2 linked regions of the Lepisosteus oculatus genome follow. Each later gene encodes a partner of the first gene's protein in a complex. Links are inferred from orthologs where the notes say so. Each region holds a gene or a part of one and is shown on either strand. Other genes may lie near its edges.

The links.
Region 2: the proteins of cftr (region 1) and gopc are in contact, whole or in part, in an NMR structure (PDB 2LOB), measured with the Homo sapiens proteins. The link is inferred for Lepisosteus oculatus from reciprocal best matches to the Homo sapiens genes CFTR and GOPC. Residues at the interface, in NP_000483.3 of Homo sapiens: Val1475, Gln1476, Asp1477, Thr1478, Arg1479, Leu1480; in NP_065132.1 of Homo sapiens: Gly298, Leu299, Gly300, Ile301, Ser302, Ile303, Thr304, Gly305, Glu308, His309, Glu317, His319, Thr347, Lys348, His349, Lys350, Glu351, Val353, Leu356.

What each region holds. Positions count from the first base shown.
Region 1 is NC_090702.1:45,443,250-45,453,772, reverse strand, and holds the start of cftr (cystic fibrosis transmembrane conductance regulator), read right to left. Parts: upstream 4,978-10,523; 5' UTR 4,630-4,977; coding exon 4,577-4,629; intron 3,491-4,576; coding exon 3,380-3,490; intron 2,412-3,379; coding exon 2,300-2,411; intron 1-2,299. UniProt on the Homo sapiens protein: Epithelial ion channel that plays an important role in the regulation of epithelial ion and water transport and fluid homeostasis. Mediates the transport of chloride ions across the cell membrane.
Region 2 is NC_090697.1:32,948,441-32,958,759, reverse strand, and holds the start of gopc (Golgi-associated PDZ and coiled-coil motif-containing protein), read left to right. Parts: upstream 1-5,902; 5' UTR 5,903-6,146; coding exon 6,147-6,419; intron 6,420-10,319. Other genes in the region: nephrocan-like, read right to left, coding at 234-1,135, 2,907-3,101.

The sequences.
Region 1 (10,523 bases):
CGCAGTGGTGTGCTGGGGCTCTGGGATTAGAGCAGTGGATTCCAAAAGGCTGAACAAGCTCATCAGGAGAGCAAGCTCTGTCATTGGGTCTGACCTGGACCCCTTGGAGGTAGTGGCTGAGAGGAGAATGATGTCCAAACTAGAGGCCATCATGGACAACTCCTCCCATCCCCTCTATGACAGGCTTGCAGGAATGAAGAGCACGCTCAGCAATAGACTGATTCATCCACGGTGCGACAGGGAGCGCTACAGGAGGTCATTCTTGCCTTCTGCCATAAGACTGTACAACGCATCCACCTTGCATCTTGGCAGAGGCAACATCGACAGTGACCTGTTTCTGGACTAAACGCATCTACACATCTACTGCTACATCTGTTCTCTTTCTTTTTATTTTTATTTTTCCCGTTTACAACCATTTTTTGTGCAATATATGCCAGGGACCTGTGCAATACATTTATATTTATATCTATAGTTACATCTATATTTATATTCATATGTGTGATACGATTTTCTGTGTACTGTTCTGTTCTAGTTTGTTCTTGTGTGTCCGGACTGTGAGTAACTCTTGTATTGTATTGTATTGTATGTATTGTACTATTATTATATAATTTGTTACACTGTGGCTGTGTTGTGTGTGTTAAGCTGCTGTTGCACTGCAATTTCCCTCACGGGATCAATAAAGTATCTATCTATCAAACCTGTTCATAAAATTAGACTCCGTCAAGTAAGAGTTATTCAGTTACAAAAGTTCAAAAGATACTTGTTGTGCAGAACTCATGATGCTTTCAAGTCATGTGCTCCTACAGAAGTGGGAATCTTCACCACAAGCATGGAAATGGTTTGGCAGAGATGTTCCATGAGACCACAGGAATGTTCCTCCACTCAATCTCTACAGCAAATATTAGAGATCTGTCAACCCAGCCCAACACACAGGTGCTCAGGACGTCTAAGTTATAACGTCTTGTTATAAAAAGTCGGCCAATGCATGATACTAATTCTAGAAGGACACAGAATGTCTTTGATAACCATTGCCATGTGGGCACACGGATTCCAAAATGAAAAGATTCGGGGATTGTAATGACTTTAGTGTTGCCGAGTTGGTTAATGGGGCACAGATTTTGAACAATGCTCAGTATAAGACCGTGATGTGCGATGACCATTGGCAGCAAGCTGAATCCTAAAGTCAGCAGTAATGGTCTTCCACACCGATATGGCTATTGCCACCAAAATGTTTTTGTTCCCCAACACAGACCTCACTTAGTCTTTTGATTTTTATCCGGTATGCAAATGCTGAATCATTGCCAGATGAGACCACTACACACACTGTATAGTCACTGCATCAAACTACAGGATATTCATCAGAGCAAACAATGCATATGACATTCCTATTAATGGTCAGTACTGTATATACAGTCTGCTAATGTACTGTATGTGACACAGGACGTGAACTAGGTAGAGAAAAATATCTTAGCCTTCGTTGTTTCAAAGAAACAATTGAAGAAGCAACTGAGCAGCTTGATATTCTTGTCAGGTGGTTCCCATTCTTGGGGAGAATGGTGTTTATTATCAGGTTATTGTTGTTTAATAATTACCAGTTGAGTCTGCAACCATAACTGTTCCTGTGTGGAAACAATCCCCAGTGTCTCCTTTAAATCTGATGATAGATGAATGGACCTTGAATGCAACTATTGAGTGTGTTTTGTGATATCTATGCAAACAAAATTCCCAAACTTGATGCCACTTTTTCTCAGACTTGACTTTGATGTTTTTTTATTAAAAGCTTGAGAATCTGTGTGCCATTCATGCAGACAGATGCAAGCAGACATCACCTTTGCACATACTGTACAAAAACACATCCTCACAGTTCTTATTGCAGCCCTATTGCCACAGTTTTGTTTGTTTTTTTTCATATTAAAATGGATTGTTATTGCAGGTATATGAAAATATGCTTGGATTTCTCGATTAACATTCACAAAACTTAAGAATTATTAGTATTAAGACTACAAATGTTGCGTTTCTGAAGTGTTCCACTACGGAACACATCAAACACCAGTTGATAATAAAATAACGTCATAGGTCCACACAGATAATAGCTACTGAATTAAGGAGTATGCCTACTTAATTGGTCATCTAATGCAGAACATCCTAATTTTGAATGGGACTGCGAAATAAGTATAATTAAATGTTAATATCAAATACAAATGAGAGCATCTTAAATAATGAAACCCATACTGTATATTGTTCTTATTAAATCTCTTTTCATCCTGTTTTAGATACAACTTAAGAGTCAGAAACTTACCCCAAAGTACAACAGGACTCCATAAAAGGCAAAGGGCCAGAAGAAACAGCGGCGAATGGCATTGAGAAGATTGGGATTTTTCTTCGATGATGCAAGTTCTCTGTCCCATTCTCTACCAAAGACCGAAAACAAGGCAATTAGAAAACTGTCACTGTGTGGAAACAGACTACACAGCTTTTTTCACATAGTTAGGTTGACTCACGTATAACCAGGGAGATCTGGCTAACTTATTAAACAGTAAAGTACACAGAGACCTTGAAGATCGAAAGGGTACCAACTTGTTAATTGAATAAAAGTTCAAATTCCCAGTAGACCACATTTTTGGCTGATTAAAAATGGCTAACTATATATCACCCAACAGGGGGCTGGCAGTTTAAAAGGTCACGTTTCATGCTTATGTAAGAGAACTGCTGAGATCTAAAGAGAAATACACAAATAATGGTAAAAATAAGGGCCTGGAGGAGCTCCAGTCCCAAACAGGGTAAAAACAAGGGCAAACATCTTTTAAGTCGCATGTTTGTGTCTTTAAAGAATGACAGAGGTGACATTTGGGGGTGGCCTGCGCTTTCAATGGCAAATATCCTAATTGGTGACATTTGCAAGACTTTTTAATTATAATCGGCAATATAGCCGCATAGACTGCTAGAGATACGATGGGTAAGGCGTGTGTTTTTTGGGAATATTTCACAGTGTCTGGTGTCTCAAATGCCTACCCACATTTCAAGTAAGACCTACAGCTGAAAGTTTCAGTTGCTAAAACAAGTACTGTACAGGGTTTCTCTGGAAATACAGTAGGAAATACACTTGAATAGCAGGTCAACTAAAGGACCTGCTATTCAAAACATAAGATGATGGTTACAGTGCATATCACAAAAGGGTAACAAGAAAGAGTTATTTATAGTGTTTTTCTTTAATGTACATACAGAACAGAAATGTTATATATAATGGATATATCAATAAATATTTGTACTCAAAGACTAAAATAGTCAGATTAAGGTATTATTGCAATTAAAGGTAAAAATACAATTTTCTGGACGTTGCGCGTGAAAGCTTCAGTGAAAGATTGCGATAAATGCAAACCTTTCTAGTCTTTCAGAAAGATGGTCAGCCGAGTCAAATGAAGGCACCTGATAAACATCTGATAATTCTAATTTCTGCCTGTATCCCTTTCTCAAAATTGGTGAAGCCCACCTGTAAAAAAAAAAACAAATCATCATAAATCAGACCTACAGTACATTCACAGATGTATCACTGATTTATAAATGCCACTACTACCTACTGAACATAGATCTACATTCACAGATTTATGACAGATATCATACATGTCAATAGTATCTATTGTAAACTTAAGTAAATAGAGTGTGAAGGGGATCTTTGTTTGTAATTATTATAACCTAATTGCCTTTATTGAGAAACAACTGTCATCTACAGTAAGTATACAAACAATGTCACAATGGTTCAGTCACTGCTTCTCCTAGAACAAATGTTGTCTGTGATTAAATTTAATATATTATGGAAAGAATATACAACACAAACAATTATGCAAGCTTTTAACACATACAGTAGTTGAAAAAGTTGTACAAAACACACTGGTGTATTTACTTGTATCTACTCAGCAGTAGTTACGGTTTTCGCTATTTACTAGAGTACATGTTTTCTAAAACTACGTTTTACGTGAAGAAAACTAATGATGAATTACTTCACAGCTTTCAATACTTTCATTTGTGATAATTGTATTCTCACATTTTGACACCAAGAAGATCTCCCGCTCCAAAGTATTTAAAAAAAACACTGGCAATGTTTAACAATAGTTAACTCATAACCACATCATATAAGAAAATCGAATTAAAAAATGCGAATTCATTAAACAATAGCTGACTTCTTAATTTCCTATAACTCGGGAAAGCTTTAATGAAATCTGATCCTCAGGCACGTCGCTGCAGGTGCACTTCATAAAGTTCTGAAATAACTTCGGACAAGGTAAATAAATTAATCTGTTAGTCGTATTATATTTTCAAACTTCAATATAAAAATGAAAGTAAGAAAAGTCATGCTATATAATTATCAAACAGCAGGTTAATGAACCACGTGCAGGGGAAAGTACATACAGTATTTCTAAAAAAATATTAGGACTACCAAAACGAATAAGCTAAATGCAGATTCACATCTGCACTGCAAAACTTTAGCAAAACTTTCTTTCAATTTCCATGACAGAAGAAAAGAATCGTGGTTTCATTTTTATCCTTGACTGAAACTAGAGTAAAAAAAAACACTTACCAGAAAAAAAATCTCGAGAAGGCGTTAGCATCTTCTGCAGGTGATTTCTGCATTCTAAAACAGCTTCCGTGCACCTGAGAGATGTGCTGGTTAAACTGGTCATCTGTAAAGTCTCCAAAATTGAATCAAGTCCCCGGTTTTGTTCTCCATGTCAAGATATGTGTGCGGTGATGTCACTGGTTTAATTGGCTCTGCCCTGGTTATAGCGTGTGCGAAGGACAAACCAGAAGGTTTGAAGAGTTGCGCTGTCGAACTCCACGCTCAGAGCCCACGATAAATTCCTTGTGTGTTCTGCGTTCACTGAATATTTTCTCCTCAGTCTGTTAACCTAGAACACTCAGTACATTAAAGGGACTGATTTTGAATAGCAGTGTGCGACCCACCTCTGCCAGATTTCATTCTGAAGTTTTGATTTCCATTTAGGCAACATTGCGCAAAAAAACAGCAGGGGAATTCTTATTTCGGCCAAGGCGTTTGACAAGATGTTTAAGTCTCAATATCATTAAAGCGTTTTCTTACGGACAAGAAGAAATGAACTGGGGAATGAACACCATTTTCACAGAGCATTAAGTGTTAAATTGCAGTATGGTACATAATACAAAATTGTGATTTCTATTATTTTATAACTGACGACAAATATCAAGAAAGTTCTTTTTGCTGCTGTATCTTATTGAAGACTTTCAAGACAATTATTTTAAAAAATAATTTAAATGCAATTTGTACAGTAGTCACAGGAGAATTCACAATTATGGTAACAACCAAACCTATTCCTAAAACGGGTAAGAATAAAGGTAGAATCTGCATATCCATCTTCAGAAAAAAAAATGCAGCAGACAATTTTGTCATTTACTCCAAGCATTTCTTTTTTAAATATCCCTTATTAGCAATTCCTCCTGAACTGCATCTTGGCTCTTTGTGTCACACAGCTTCATGCAATTTAAGCAGTGTATTAGCATCTATATTTGTTAATTCTGTCCTAAACGCCTAAGAATATAAGATTAACTTCTCACATGTCTGTTCTGACATTTCTGTTTCAACTGTAAACATCAAAGGGTGGCAATGCATCATGCTTTCCTGTTTCTGATTTAAGATATTTATGTTTAGTCAGTGTTTACATCCATAAACATTTGCAAAGCAAAGCATTCATCTGTAAGTCTTGATTGTACCACACAACACTGAAAAATGAAATAAAATTTTGTAAACAGTCATGTAATAATGTGTCGGCAAACTTTTATTTGAAACAAAGTTACTCTATAACTCATGTTTTTTTACTTTGTATACAGGTATATACTGCATCATTCTTATCTTTTCAAAGCTTTAAAGAGGAGCAATAAATATTAACCTGACCCCCATAACATACAGAGTGTAAGGCAATCAATACAGAAACAAACATTATTAAAAATAAAAAGTTATGTAAACTTATTTAATCTTAAATAAGAAATAATTTTTGTATTTCAATTATATGTGAATTCAATACCTAAATAACCTTACTGTGTTACAACATCTAAGGTGTCTTCAACAGGGAAAATAGTAAGAAAGCTAACATGGTTCTCATCACACAAGGGAAAACTAAAATATTTGTTTGTAAGTCTTTTTTCCAAAATTAGATGAAAATTTCAGAGAACTCTGGAGAGGTGATCAAAAAGAAACACTAAAGAAACAAATATTCCAATCTAGACCGCATGCAGTGCTAAACGTAGGGGTCGGTGAAACACTGCTTACAACATAAGAACATGAGACCAAACAAAACCTATGGAATAACACTTTTCCAAACCAAAGAGGCTTTTTCTTTTTCTCAGCACCTACAAGCACAACTCAAGCATACAGTATTAATGATCTTTTTTGCACATTTACAAAAAAACAACTGCTACCACATTTCAGCATTCAAAACTTGGGAACCAGCTGCATCTCATGCCCAGCAATCCTCCCCCACAACCTTCTTTAAAGCTTTTACATACTGTAGCTGTTTGTACTTTAGTGCTATCTTTGCTGTTTTGGAGGAGCTGTTCAGTATTTCAATGCTACAAACAAGACCTTCAGAGACCTAAATCACTGCTATTGTACAGTATATTGAAACATTCTACAAAACTGACTAAAGTTAAATCAAATCTTTTTCTGCTTTAAATCTTCAATTATTTTATAGGAACATGTTTTTATTATAATGTACAGATGCAGTGTTTGTTTTTCATTTCTACTGTATGCACCGAAATGGGTGTAGACTTTTCAGCTTAATATTCTTAATTAACTAAAACAAAGTAACTGTTACTGATACTGGGAACTTTCTGTTAGCTTCAAGTTTCCTACATATTTTCTAAGGATTAAAAAGGTTTAGACATTCCATTGTGGAACACAGATAAAAACGGTGAAGCACAGCTACTGCTGATGGTTCAGAAGTAACCTGAGTGGACGTCTAATGAATGCATTTTAACCTGAGCCACAAAAACTCTTCGGTGAGGTAGGGGTTGATCTATGAGCCCATCCTAGAGCTTCAACTCTGACTGATTCATCCACGGTGCGACAGGGAGCGCTACAGGAGGTCATTCTTGCCTTCTGCCATAAGACTGTACAACGCATCCACCTTGCGTCTGGGCAGAGGCAACATCGACAGTGACCTGTTTCTGGACTGAACGCATCTACACATCTACTGCTACATCTGTTCTCTTTCTTTTTCCTTTCCCGTCTACAACCGTTTTTTGCCAATATATGCCAGGGACCTGTGCAATACATTTATATTTATATTTATATCTATATCTATATTTACATCTATATTTATATTCATATGTGTAATATGATTTTTCTGTGTACTGTTCTGTTCTAGTTTGTTCTTTATGTGTCCGGACTGTGGGTAACTCTTTTAGTGCACCCCTCACTGTACTGATTGTATTGTATTATTATTATTGTATCATTCGTTACACTGTGACTGTGTTGTCTGTGTTAAGCTGCTGTTGCACTGCAATTTCCCTCACGGGATCAATAAAGTACAGTATCTATCTATCAAAACACAGAAAACCGCAATGGATTTGTATTTGAATATTCTTAACATTTGGAAACAAAGTCAAGGCAAAGCATGAGACAGATACATTTTTTTTATTACCTCCAATAATGTAAAGAATAATTTTGAAAGGCTGCTGTAAAATGGCTTATTAATTGTAGAGGGTGGTGTTCCAATAGGTACCAAGCTCACAAACCAAGCCTAATCCCAGTAAAACATATAAAAACACATTATGTAAGTAATAGAAATTTCCAGAACAGTAGAGGATTACTTTTTTGTCAGAGCATTCCATAACATTGCTTCCAGTCTCTCACTGAATACATTTTTATACATTTTTGAAAACATAACTGACTCGAAATAAAACAATCACAGGTGCCAGTGACTATCTTGCCCAAAAAAGCATCCATCCAAATAAAGGGAACAAGCCCTTCTATCAAGCCCAGAAAAAAGTCCTCCAAGTCAAATAAAATAGTATATAAAAATAGGAACATGCCCCAAAATAGAACAAATGCTTATATTTGCAAAATAAGTATTGTTTTATATATATATACCTCGGAGTGTTTTAGCCAGACAGACGTAAAAAAAGAGAAACTCAAACCTTGTGAACAAAGATATTGTCAAGCTGAGCTGAAAAGTGATCCAACACACATGCCTGCCTGAGAACTCAAGTGTTTGTTCTATTTTGGAGTACATTGCCATTCTTTTTTCCTACAGACAGAATCAATACAATATAAAGGTTCCCCAAACAAAAGAAAAACAACATTTTTCCCACCCTATCAACCACCCCCATCTCCGGTCACTCGCACTCCAAATATCCAGCCAAAAGATAATAATAATAATAATAATAATAATAATAATAATAATAATAATAATAATAATAATAATAATACACTTTATTTTACTGTATATAGCGCCTTTAAAGGTGGCTTCTCAAAGCGCTTTACAAGATGACAACAACAATAAATAAGAAGAATACACAAGATAAAACACAATTACAATATATACAGGAGACCATGGATGGTGGTACTAAGAAAAGCAGAGGGGTAAAGAATGGAACCAGATAAGTAAAGGCTTTTCTAAAGAAGAGGGTTTTGAGTCTGGATTTGAAGGAGTTTAGAGAAGGTGACTCTCTGATATTCTTGGGCAGAGAGGTCCAGACCTTGGGGACATAACAGGAGAAGGCCCTGTCACCCATACAATGTAGACGGGCTTGGGGGACAGTTAGGAGACCAGAATTAGAAGAGCGAAGGTTGTGAGGCGGGGAATAGGGCGATAATAGTTCAGACAGGTACTGAGGTGCCAAGCCATGCAGAGCCTTATAGGTGAGCATGAGGATTTTAAAGTCCACACGGAATTTGACCAGAAGCCAGTGCAAGGACTCCAGGATAGGAGAAATGTGTACACTTGCACTAGACCTGGTCAGGATTCTGGCTGCTGAATTTTGGACATACAGTACTGCAGTTTGTTCAGAGTAGATTTAGATACCCCAGCGAGTAGAGCATTACAGTAGTCAATTCGAGAGAACACAAATGTGTTGATCAGCTTTTCAGCCACAGTTATTGATAGCATAGGGCATGGTCTAGCGATATTTCTAAGGTGAAAAAAAGATGTTTTGACAGTATGCTGCAAAAAGATGCCATAAATTAAATCACACAAAAGTAATGGACCCACTGTACAGTAAATCCAGGCTTGACCAGGCTGGACCACCAGTGCCCCATACTGTACATCCAAGGTGCTTCCCATCCTGGCACCAAAAACCTGAGAAATAAAATACTCTACACAAATGATGACTGGAAAAGTCAGGATCCAATGATGTCAGATAGTGGGAAGAAGAGATGGCCACCAAAAAGCCCAGAACATTTTAATCATGGTAAGACTAGCCACCAAGCATGGAGTCATCATTTAACAAGAGCACCAACAAAAATTCAAAGCAAAGCAGGTAATCGAGCAAAATATTTTAAGGATGATGTGGTTTTTGCTGTCTGCATATAAAATAAACTATATTCTGTGTTATTCTGAACGATGCATAAAACTATTTTTTCAGGACACCTGAAGAAGGCTTCACAGCCAAAACGTTGTGTTTTCTCTCTTCTTTTTTCAGCATGGAATAAACCTATTACTTGTTCCTTTGCAGACTACGCATGCTGATGCAGCTACCCACCTGAACCACTATATAAGGCAGACTGTAGTACATTCTGTAGCATTATCCCATGACTAACCTTTCTACTGCAGTGTCTTCATGAAACACACCGACAGCATGTGATAATAGTTTATATTCAAATTGTTGTGGGATAAAACAATAAAAAACACAGGAGATAGCCTGTACAAAGACAGAGAACCCATTTCAAAGTACAGTATACTGTAGCTTTCATTAAGATGAGTTCACTGAAGCACACGCTGAAATGACATTTGACCAGCAAACCATTTCAATGCAGAACAATAAAGATGTTCACTGTGTAACAAAAAAAGGTAAAGTTACAGTATATGAAGAGGAAGTACAGAACTACAGTGTATAAACTGGGACTTGTGAGCAAAATAAGCTGACAGTGGGCAGAAACCCTAATTTAGCAGTCATGGCCATTGTAAAAGCACTGCTGTCCTGAATTTATAAATCAGCAGATTATTAATATTAACTGTCTCGGTGTGTGCGTCTTTTTGTCAGGACCTCAGTCCATCTCTTCCCATCTCTCAGTCCCATAGTTGCTCTTCAGACACCAGTAAGTTCTGCTACACAAAAGACCAGACACTGGAGAATTCAAGGCTATCGAGGTTTCTAGCAGATTACATCACTGTAACAAGTTCAAGGACCAAGTTAACCCTGTTCTATTACCATACAAATCGCTAGATTCCTTCGAAGAAAATTACAGTACAGGATAAGCATGTAATAAAGCCTTCTTGTAAAACCGATCATGGTAATATTTAGAATCAGGATGGTTTCCTCTACAAGCAGGGGCT
Region 2 (10,319 bases), on another chromosome or scaffold:
GAATTAATATTATATGTTTACACTTGTGTCCTTTTCTATGTTTACAATGTCTCAGTAAAAAGGCATTCATTTATTGAGTCAGTTTAATGAAGAATTACTGTCTGAACATTCACAAGGAGATTTTAAGAAAACCTTGACATCTTTGTAGATTAATGACAAATTACTTGTCTATACAGTCCTGAAGACCTTGCACATAACTAGACAAATCAGCCTTATCAGCACAATGCTTGTACCCTTCTGGAATGGCTGAGAGAAAGTTCTGTTCCAAAGCCAGGCTTGTTAAGCGCAGGCAGTTCTTCAGGGCTGCAGCCTCGAAGTGGTGAATGAGGTTGTTTTCCAGAAACAGGTGTTTCAGTTGGTTCATTCCTGAAAGCTCTTGCTGGGTAACTTCCCGAATCAAGTTTTGGCGGCAGTCCAGCTTTTCTAGTTTAGCTGTCAACCTGCTTGGCAGCAGCCTCATATGATTGCCAGAGAGCTCAATCATGGTAAGGTTTGGCAGACGGAGGCTGCCGTCAATGGAAACTAGCTTGTTATGTGCCACTGACAAAACTGAAAGATGTTTCAAGTGGCCCATTTCCCGACTCCTCAGTGCCCGTATTTGATTCAAATCTAAATTCAGGGACCCGAGTGTCTGAGGGAGATCCTGTGGAACTTTCACAAGGTGATTTCCAGAAAGACTTAACATTTTAAGGGATTGTAAAGATGCAAAAAAGTTTGCCGGTAAAGAGGGAATCTTGTTATTCGCAATGCTTAACTGACGGAGCTGAGGTAGTTTAGGGGAACCCATTAAAGATTCAATTTGATTGCCATCTAGATAGAGACTTTCGAGTTTTAACAGAGAGGTAAATGTGTTCCCTCGAAGGCTGGATATCAGGTTGTTTTGAAGGTCAAGAACGCGCAGGTTTCTCAAACCATCAACAGCTGACTCCTGCAGGTGCTGTATCCTGTTATTTCCCAGTTTGAGGATTTCCAGGCTATGGGGGAGTCCACGAGGCATGTGCTTTAACTTGTTCTTCAGGAGCTCCAGTGTTTTTAGGTGGCTTTGAGACTTGAAAGTGTTCACTTCTATCGATTCTATTCCACAAGATGACAGAACAATTTCTTCAAGTTGTGTCAGTCCAGTAAAATCACATCTCTGAAAAAGTATATAAAAACATTGTATATCTCAGTGATTTCGGCTTAATACCTACATGAAGTCAGTTGCCTAAGACAAAAATTCAGAACAGCTCTATGAATAAATGAATATACTGACATAAAATATTGGATTTAAATCTTGATGAAGGCACACGTACCAAAGATACCAAACATCTGACATTTGATATGAATGGTCATGACTTGTGATAGACACATCTCCAAGCCTAGAAATGGCAGACTACTTAAGTTCAGGGCTTTATAATACAAAATGTCTCCTTTTAGGACACTTCAAAATGGTTTATTAAGAGTTTGTGGTGTGTATTTCAAACCACTGATCATGCTAGACAATTTTTTTTCTTGTTGATTGTTTTCAGTTGCAGGTGTGTCAGTGGAAAATATATCATTCATTACACACATACCTTAATTAACGGGGAATTTTAATTTACATTTCTTTACTGAGTGGTGGTGAATTGTAGTGCCATCATTCTAAAGTAGTAAGATCCTCACTCCTTGTATAGTTTTAGTATAGGACACTTAAGTTCATGAGCAATTAAAATTGATTTTGTGGTTTTATGGACAATTAGGGATTGGACTTTTATATTAATTTTCAGATCATTGAAACCACTGAATAATTGTCTTCAAAGTATCATTCTTTCATAAAACTTAATTGAGAAAAAAATTGATATTTTTATATTGCATTTTAAAAGATAAAAGAAAGAAAATGCCATTATTCTGATACAGTATGTAATAAATGATTCAAAGCATGCCTCATGACTTCCTATCTTTTTGGACATAATGATGAACTGCTACTGTGAGCTACATGCATGATTAATGGATATTAATTTAAGAAAATAACTAATTGAACATACAGCCTACAGAATAACTACAGGACATAAATTGATTTGAGTTTATTATTGTTCAGATGTCACAAACCTTTAATTTATCAGTTAATAGAAAGCCTTCACAAATATGTTTTAGATTGAAATTAATTATACAGATTCACATAAAATATAGAAATAATTTAAAATCTGGAGGATGATGATGGTTTAACGATAATTCATCAGGAATATGTGTTTTTCCTAAAATATCAATATCATAATTTAATATTCACAAATATGTAGATTATGTGTGTGAAAATAATCATACATATTTAATCTATAGCTGCTGTATATCCTAGTACCTTAATCACACACACAAACTTCTTTTTATGTGGTAGGTTGTATTTAAACTTTGATTTTAGAAACGTTTCTAAATCTACATAAATATCATGAAAATTTTACCATCCAAAGAGATTCTGTTTTCTCAAGGATACACAGACAAGAAAACAGACAGGAACAGAATATATTCAAGTAGGTAGCTGCGTCAGCATGCGTAGGCTGCAAAGGAACAGGTAACGAGTTTATATTTCTTTTCAGCATGGAATAAACTCGTTATCTGTTCCTTTGCAGGAACAGAATATGATTCACAGATATGTTTAACTTTTAAATGGACTCCATATTTAACTATTTATACATACATCCTTTATAACCCACTTTTGTACATAGAATATAAATGCTTATATAATCTACACAAAAGCAGCGAACAGTTCGAAATACTGTATTTGTTTAAATTCCAAGGCACAAACCACTTAAACCTTTTTCTCTGTTGCTAAGAGAAGTCTTAAGTCTTCTCAGAAACCTCCTATAAATACTGGTACAAGTGTAAACTCCCCATAGTGCAAATCTCTGAAGGAAGTTTATATCTCTGGTCGGCTTGTTTAGCTTTGCTCTTACCTTTAAATCCTTAATGTGGTTGTATCCTAGATTCAGTTTCCTTGTATCTTTTGCAGTCCCAGACGGTACAGCATGTACCCTGTAGCACTGTATCGACTTTTCGTTTTCACAAATGCAATTCTTTGGACATCCATTGTCATTTAGGCAGTAGCAGAGATGCAACAAGATGCAGATGGAAATTAAAATAAACTGCATGCTGAAAATACAACTAGGGAAGTCACTTTGGTCCAGAGACAGCACTCTCTGTAACCTTCGATCTCTTGTGTGACTTATATAGCAGGACATCCTAAAACCTAATGCTGGTAAGAGAGTGTTTTCTCAAGCCTATTTGGAACAATACTACAGATTTTTATCTTGGTTAAAAAACACCACTTGACACTAACAAGGAACTGACCTAAACAGTAATAGATTGGACCTCTGTTTGTAGACGTGAGAAACTTGCTGATAAACAATTTATTGCCCTTGCTGGTGAGTGCGTGCAATTTCCTTTGCTTTATCCAATTCCTTCCTGGGTGCTTTTTTCAATTTAAATAATAAAGCACTCCATTGAAAGTGTCAGTGGATTTTTCACTTTTAAAATTTTATAAGATCTGCTAAATCCTCCTTGGCTCCTTAAGGAAAAAAATGCCAGAGATTAATTAGCTGTCAGTCTTTTAATTGTGTCTGTGTTGTCATTTGATAACACTTGTTGCCACAGGTGTCCTTGGCTCCCAGTGTGCCTGTTACTCAGGCTTTATCACAAAGAGGGTCACCCAGAGGAAATACTTTTGAAAGAACAACCCATGTGAACTGAGGTTGCTGAATAGGGGTCACAGAACCCGGAGGATTGCTTCATTTGTGGAGCAATAACACCACAGAGATATGTGACCCTCCCAAATAATATGCGATCAAGCCAAGAGATTAAAAGATTCCATCCTTTAAAAGCAAGAGACACTAAAACACAGATCCTACTCTTAGCTTCTGTATCTGCAGGAGTGTGGGATATTTATAATTCATCTGAGAGGGTGTCCTGCTGTGTTGAGATATAAAACATTTTGCTCCCTGTGATAGCTTGGAGATAATGAATATAAAAATATCTTATGTGAGAACAAATAGTTCAATTGTTTTCGTGAGTGCTATAATGGTGAAGTTCAGTATGTTTTCTCATTTATAATGTTTAAGGTAAAAATATGCCTTTTTCACAAGAACAGAAACAGCTTGAACATTGTGCCTGGCAACTTTCAGCAATACTTAGAACAAAACGTTGTATTTGTATTTATTTTAGTCTCCATTGTAATAATCATTTCTACTTCTCTCTTGGCCTTGCAGTTCATCATATTAGTGTCCTTAAACTGGATCCTGTTCATTTTTTAAACTGTTAACAAAAGTATTTTTCCCCAAAAATATTTTTCTTAATTTGATTACTAACGCAATTTGGGGTGTAACTTTGATTCACTTACTTCTGGCATTAACCTGTTCAGTTTTTTTAGATGGATATTTTTTAATAGTTGTCATCCATTCTCCAATCTTTCATTATTTACCCTGTTGCACTCTGGATCTCTCAAATTCCCTTTCATTTCTTTAAAGTCAGTTTTCCTGAAAGTATATATATATTTAAAACTCTTTTGGACTGTACCTACTGTACACAGTTTTAAAAATGTGAATAGCACAACACGTTTTCTCCGTGAATCTGTACCCTATGTTTTATTTATTCTTTGTCAATGTTTTTTTGTCTTCTACTTTAAAATGTTTTTGTGTATGTGGAATATGTGAGTGCAATACAATTTAACCAGCATTTTTTTTACTCCTGGGGTGCTTTATAAATATTTTACGTGGCCAGAGGGTTAGATGCATGCAGTGGTTTTAAAATTTCACAAAATAACAAACCTATTCAGCACGACACCTTTTTTATGCTGAAGAAATACTTGGTAAACGATGTGAGGGGTGGGATTCGTATTTCAGGATCACTCGGTTTATAGGGTGACACTTTTATTTAAAACAATGGATTAATCTTTATCTTAGTGAGATTAGTTCTCATTATACATTACACATGGCACACGGCGTGGCGGTCAGGCTCACGACTTGCGTGTCCTGAGTTTGATTCCGGGCTGCGGTGCCTTTCTGTATGCCTCTTTCCAGGTGCTCCAGTTTCCTCACGCCTTCAGGAACAAGCTTACTAGGTCTCCTGGTGTCAGGAAATTGTCCCCGTGTGTGTGCTCTGACGGATGGACACTTCGTAGAGGATGTAGCGCTGCCATGCACTCTACGTCCGGGATAGTCTCCGGGTTGCCCTGATCTTTTTAAAGGATTTCTGTAAGCGGCTTTTTGATAATTTAGTATTGCACTGCATATTTTCCCGTCGGTATGCAGGTCTTAATGAGCTTGCTTGAGTTACCGGTTCTTCAAACAGCCAGCAGATGGCCATAAAATGTGCTTATAATTGCTTACCTACTAAAAGCTATTGAATAGTAGTCAGTTGATATAAAAAATAATCAAATTAATTCAATTAATAAAAAATAATAAATGAATCAAATATAAAAAATAAAAAATCACCGATATGTCAAGGCATTCTCGCATAACTTTTAATCACACTTTTGCAGATATACGTTTTGACCACTTCTGTAAGATCGGGAGTGAGATTATTTAATTAGTATCATTTTCTTTTTCGTTTTTAAGAAGAATATTAGCCATCGGAGAAATAATTATTTTATTGTGTAATGGTTTTGTTTATATGGCATGAAGTAAACATTTTGGGTATAATTCCATGATAAAACAGCTGATCACACGTGAAGAAATGAGTTTAGACAGATTCCCAAAACGTGATTTTCAGAATGCTTTTTTCAAACACAGCACAGCTCCAGGTAAAATTAAATGGAGGCAATATGTTTTGAGGCTGGGTAAATCACGGTTGTTAGATCTGTAAGTAGAACTCCCTCAGGTCTGCGTATCCTGTTTTGACGCTCTAAATCGATTATCTCTTTACTCTCTTGCTTTTTCTTGACGCAGGTCCAGCTGTGTGGCAGGCAATGATAGTCAATCACAGACTCGCAACCAATCCGCACTTCGGATTTCCTGGTCCGCAGAAGCCGGACGGTACGGTAGAAAACAGGGTTGGCTAAGACGACAGAGCGTGGTGTAGGATAGTAATATTTTATTTGTAATAAATAGATACAAAAATAAACTAGAAAAGTGATTAATTTATTATCGAAAAGGTGCTGCCTAGAATTGACAAGTAGTAATTCGTCGCTTGCAGTATCTGTGATGTCTGCGACGGCCGGCGGTGTCTCACCAGCCCCTCAGGGCTCGGCTCTCAGTGGTCCCGGTTCGGGAATGTCAATGTTCCGATGGTTGGAGGTCCTGGAGAAGGAATTTGACAAGGCTTTTGTGGATGTGGATCTGCTCCTCGGAGAGATCGACCCCGATCAGGCTGACATCACCTATGAGGGCCGTCAGAAAATGACCACTCTGAGTTCCTGCTTCGCTCAGCTGTGCCACAAGGCTCAGACCATCTTCCAGTTAAACCACAAACTGGAGGTAAGCACTCGGACACAGAGCATGTTAAAAGTGCCCGACGCCAGACGCCAGACGAGACCTGTACGGCGATTTATTGATTAGGGAACATGGCGTAGCTTTGCAAGTTAAGTCACATTCGCAGTGCCGTGAAACCCAAGAAGTATGCTTTATTTTAAAGTTCGTTTCTGTACTTGTATGTCAGTTGTGTTTGCCTAAAAACATTGCTCTGAAAACACAGTCAGAAGATAAGATAATTTAAACCATTAGCTAAAGATTTAGCACAAATTTGTCTTACTGAACATGGAATTTATACCTAGCTGTTCAGAGGAATTAACTTATGTTCATTGTGTGTTTTGGTATCTTTAGCGTTTCTTTGAGGTGTCACCAGAAGCTTTAGTTACTGATGTTAGAATTATGCAAGATGTATATCAGATATATTTTAACCTCAAATACTTTTATTTTAAACCAAACTAGTCTTTGCTTTCTCTTTATCTCAAGTACTTACTGTTGGCTAAGACAATAAGAATAGAGTTAATAACATTTTTACCTGGCGTTTGGCAAAACCTCATAACATTTTTTAGTATGTTTGTTTTTGTTTTCTGATTTGTATAACACATTGGCTTTTTACTTTATAAGGTCACGTGAAGGACCACATTTGAAATTGTGAAATAGACATACAATATCCACTTCCTTGATGTGTTTTGTTGGATTTTGATTTTAGGGGTTACCTCAGTCCTGTGGAGTAAAACTCAGTAAACATGAGTTGTAATTGTACTGTGCTGTACTTCAGTTATATGGTAAGGTTTACAGGCTGGTGGTTTCTGAGAAGAAATCATCCAGTTCTGCTAGTGTGCAACAGAAGGCACAAGACAACTCTTTTGTAGATGACAAAGAAGCTTTAGAGCAAACAAGTAGAAATCAATTTCTTTATAAATCTTATTTAAGGTATCATCATTGTAATTCTTAAAACTCACAAAATATTGAGTTAAAGATTTTAAATAATTTGTGCCCTATCAAGCATTTTCTTGTGTCTGGAAAAAAGTAACATTTATGTTAAATGTAAAATGCAGGATCTTCTTCACACTTGTTAATTCCCTTTTGTAGTGAGTGGCAATTCAATTTTCTGTCATGTAACACTTGTCTTTTAACTGTACTGTGTGCTGTGCTAGTGGTTTTCTAATCCATCACCAAATGGTCTTATAAAAGCAAGCTCTTCTACCATTGGTTTAACTGGTGTGTCTCATTTTATACTTAAAAGAATGGATAGTACCCAGGCTAGAATGTGAATGGTTTGTAAGGCCTGATCTTTGAGTAAACTGGCTACATTATATACATTACAGAAGTCAGTCAACGTTTTGTGGTGTGTACTGTATGAAGGAATATATATATGCACAGTTAGAATGAAACTAAAGTTCAAGAAGGTATAATTTGTAAGGTACATAATGTAAAAATGTTTTATTATTTGTGCCTTTAGAGATGCATAAATGTGATACTGAATTGTTTTGGGGGGTTTAATAAGCCATCAATAATATGCTGTAGTAGGAGAGGCAATAACTTCACTGTTGACAGTAAGGTTGTTTTGTACGGAAAAGTTAAAGAGAAGAAATAGTCAGTACCCATGTTTGGCATACTTCATCAACTGAATTTCCTAAAAATAAAACCTTAAAATGGAGTTATATGAAGTTACAATTTCAGTTGAGAATATATTTTAATGAACTGTAGAGCGACTGGGGATTTCACCTTCTTAAAAATCTTTTAAGTAGAAATAATGAAGATCATCACATACTGTACAGTGCCTTGCAAAGTGGTTCCTCCCTACTAAGAGATGGAAACAGTGCTAAGGGTGGTTCCACCAAATACGTCTACGCTAGGTTTTGATTCTTCTTTGCAGGTTTTCTGTCATTTAACATTTTGGACCGATAAAAGTATCTAGTTTAAGCACTCAAGTTTTGATTGAAAATACTCACTTTAAAAAATGTGTATGCATCATTTGTAATTCAACAAAATGAGACATAACTGTAAGGGAGAATATGCTTTTGCAGGGCACTTCGTCTTTATCAGAAGCAGTATTTTTTCATATCAGATTTTTCTGTAAATGACTGCCGCAGCCCAGGAAGAAAATAAGCTCTGGTTAAAGACATGTCACGCTACTGGGCAGTGTATAATAATAATAATAATAATAATAATAATAATAATAATAATAATGTTTCTTTATTAGCCCTGTACAATATATTGCATTAGGACTTAATCTTTTCGCATACCCCAGCTTTTCTCCATGAGACACAGGACACAGACAGGAAGAGAAGCTTGGGGTCAGAGCACAGAGTCTGCCATTGTACGGCGCCCCTGGAGCAGTTGGGGTTAAGGGCCTTGCTCAGGGGCCCAACAGAGTAGGATTCCTCTGCCGGCTGCGGGATTTGAACTGGCAACCTTCCAGTCACAAGCACAGATACTACTAAGCAAAACATTTTAGTTGATCCCTAGAGAAACAAAAAAAATTCACAAGCAGACAGAAATGCTTACTGCCACTTAGTATGTCCAGAGCCTTTCCAGGAGCACTGTTCCTCTGCATGATATTTTAGACACCTAGATATTGATAGCAGCACCTGGAGGTTATGGAGTTCAAAGCTACATTATACAGTCCCGGCATTCCTCAAACTCACTGAACATAGTAGTTTTCTGAAAGGTCAAAAATGAGGCCATCTATGCAGACAGATCAGTGAGGGTGCTAACTATTGGTTTCTAATAACAGCACCTTAGTCTCCAAAGACAGCCAGAATGTAAGCAGCTAAGTATACCGTGACCAAGAATAATTTGAAGTCAACCACATCTCTGAAACTGCATTATTTACCTGTTGATGGTGACTCAGTACACTCTGTCTGTACCCAGACTGGTCTTGTGGCCAAGTAGGTTCTGCTAGCTGTACTACAGTCCGTAGCCACAAGAAAGGCAGGTTAAAAAAAGCAACATGTACTCAAAGGTGTTACTGCATCGTTACCTTCATATCTTCTTAAGGTGATGTAATCTTAGCCAAGCCCATTACTTCATCTGAGTAAAAATATATTTTTTATAGAATTTAAAGTCTGAATTGAATTTTACCATGAAAGAAATTAAGGAATAAAATATTGTAGTTCAGGTTGTAGATTATGCCGGTTCAGGGACGCCAAATATGTAATCATAGTGGCTCTCTGAAGGCACCAGTTCTGTAGGGTTTGGGCATTTACTGAGACAATTTTTAATTGTAGCAGTAAATCACAAAGTTGATTCTTTTGGTGGCTTTAGAATCCAACCATGCGACATAACTCAAACAACGCGCACACACAGGTACTAATACACGAGGATACATTTATTAATACATAGAATATGCATATAAACCTAACAGATCTTATCGAGAGGGTTATCAGAATACAAAAGATATATATTCAATCAGTTACAAAGAGTTACACATAAAGAGGACATACGTTCAGTATATCATTCATTAAGACCGTTTCGTAAAGTGAACTTGGTTACAACTTCTACATTAGATACTCAAACAAGTACATAACTCTTAGGAATTAAATTGATATCAACTGGTTTGGATAACAATTGAATTCTCGAGCTATAATGCATTGAAGTTGAATACTCATCCAATCTTTGGGGATTCAGATCTCCTGCGGGCACAAAGAAACAGTTGCAGGCCGTTGCTGTCCAATCCGCGCTCTCTGGCTCGGTGCCAGGCTGTGCTGTGCGGCTTGCGACGGTGCGCTGCTGATGCTCATTGTTGGCTTTAACTAGCAAAGTTTGTGCACAGGAGAAAAGATGACTGTGGGTCCCAGCAAGTCAGGAAGAGGACCGGTTCGTTCCTGATGAAGAGCTAGTTCTGAATAGTGATTCAGCTGTCCACAGTTCCGACCTGTTCACGAGGCCTGCTGCTGGTTACTC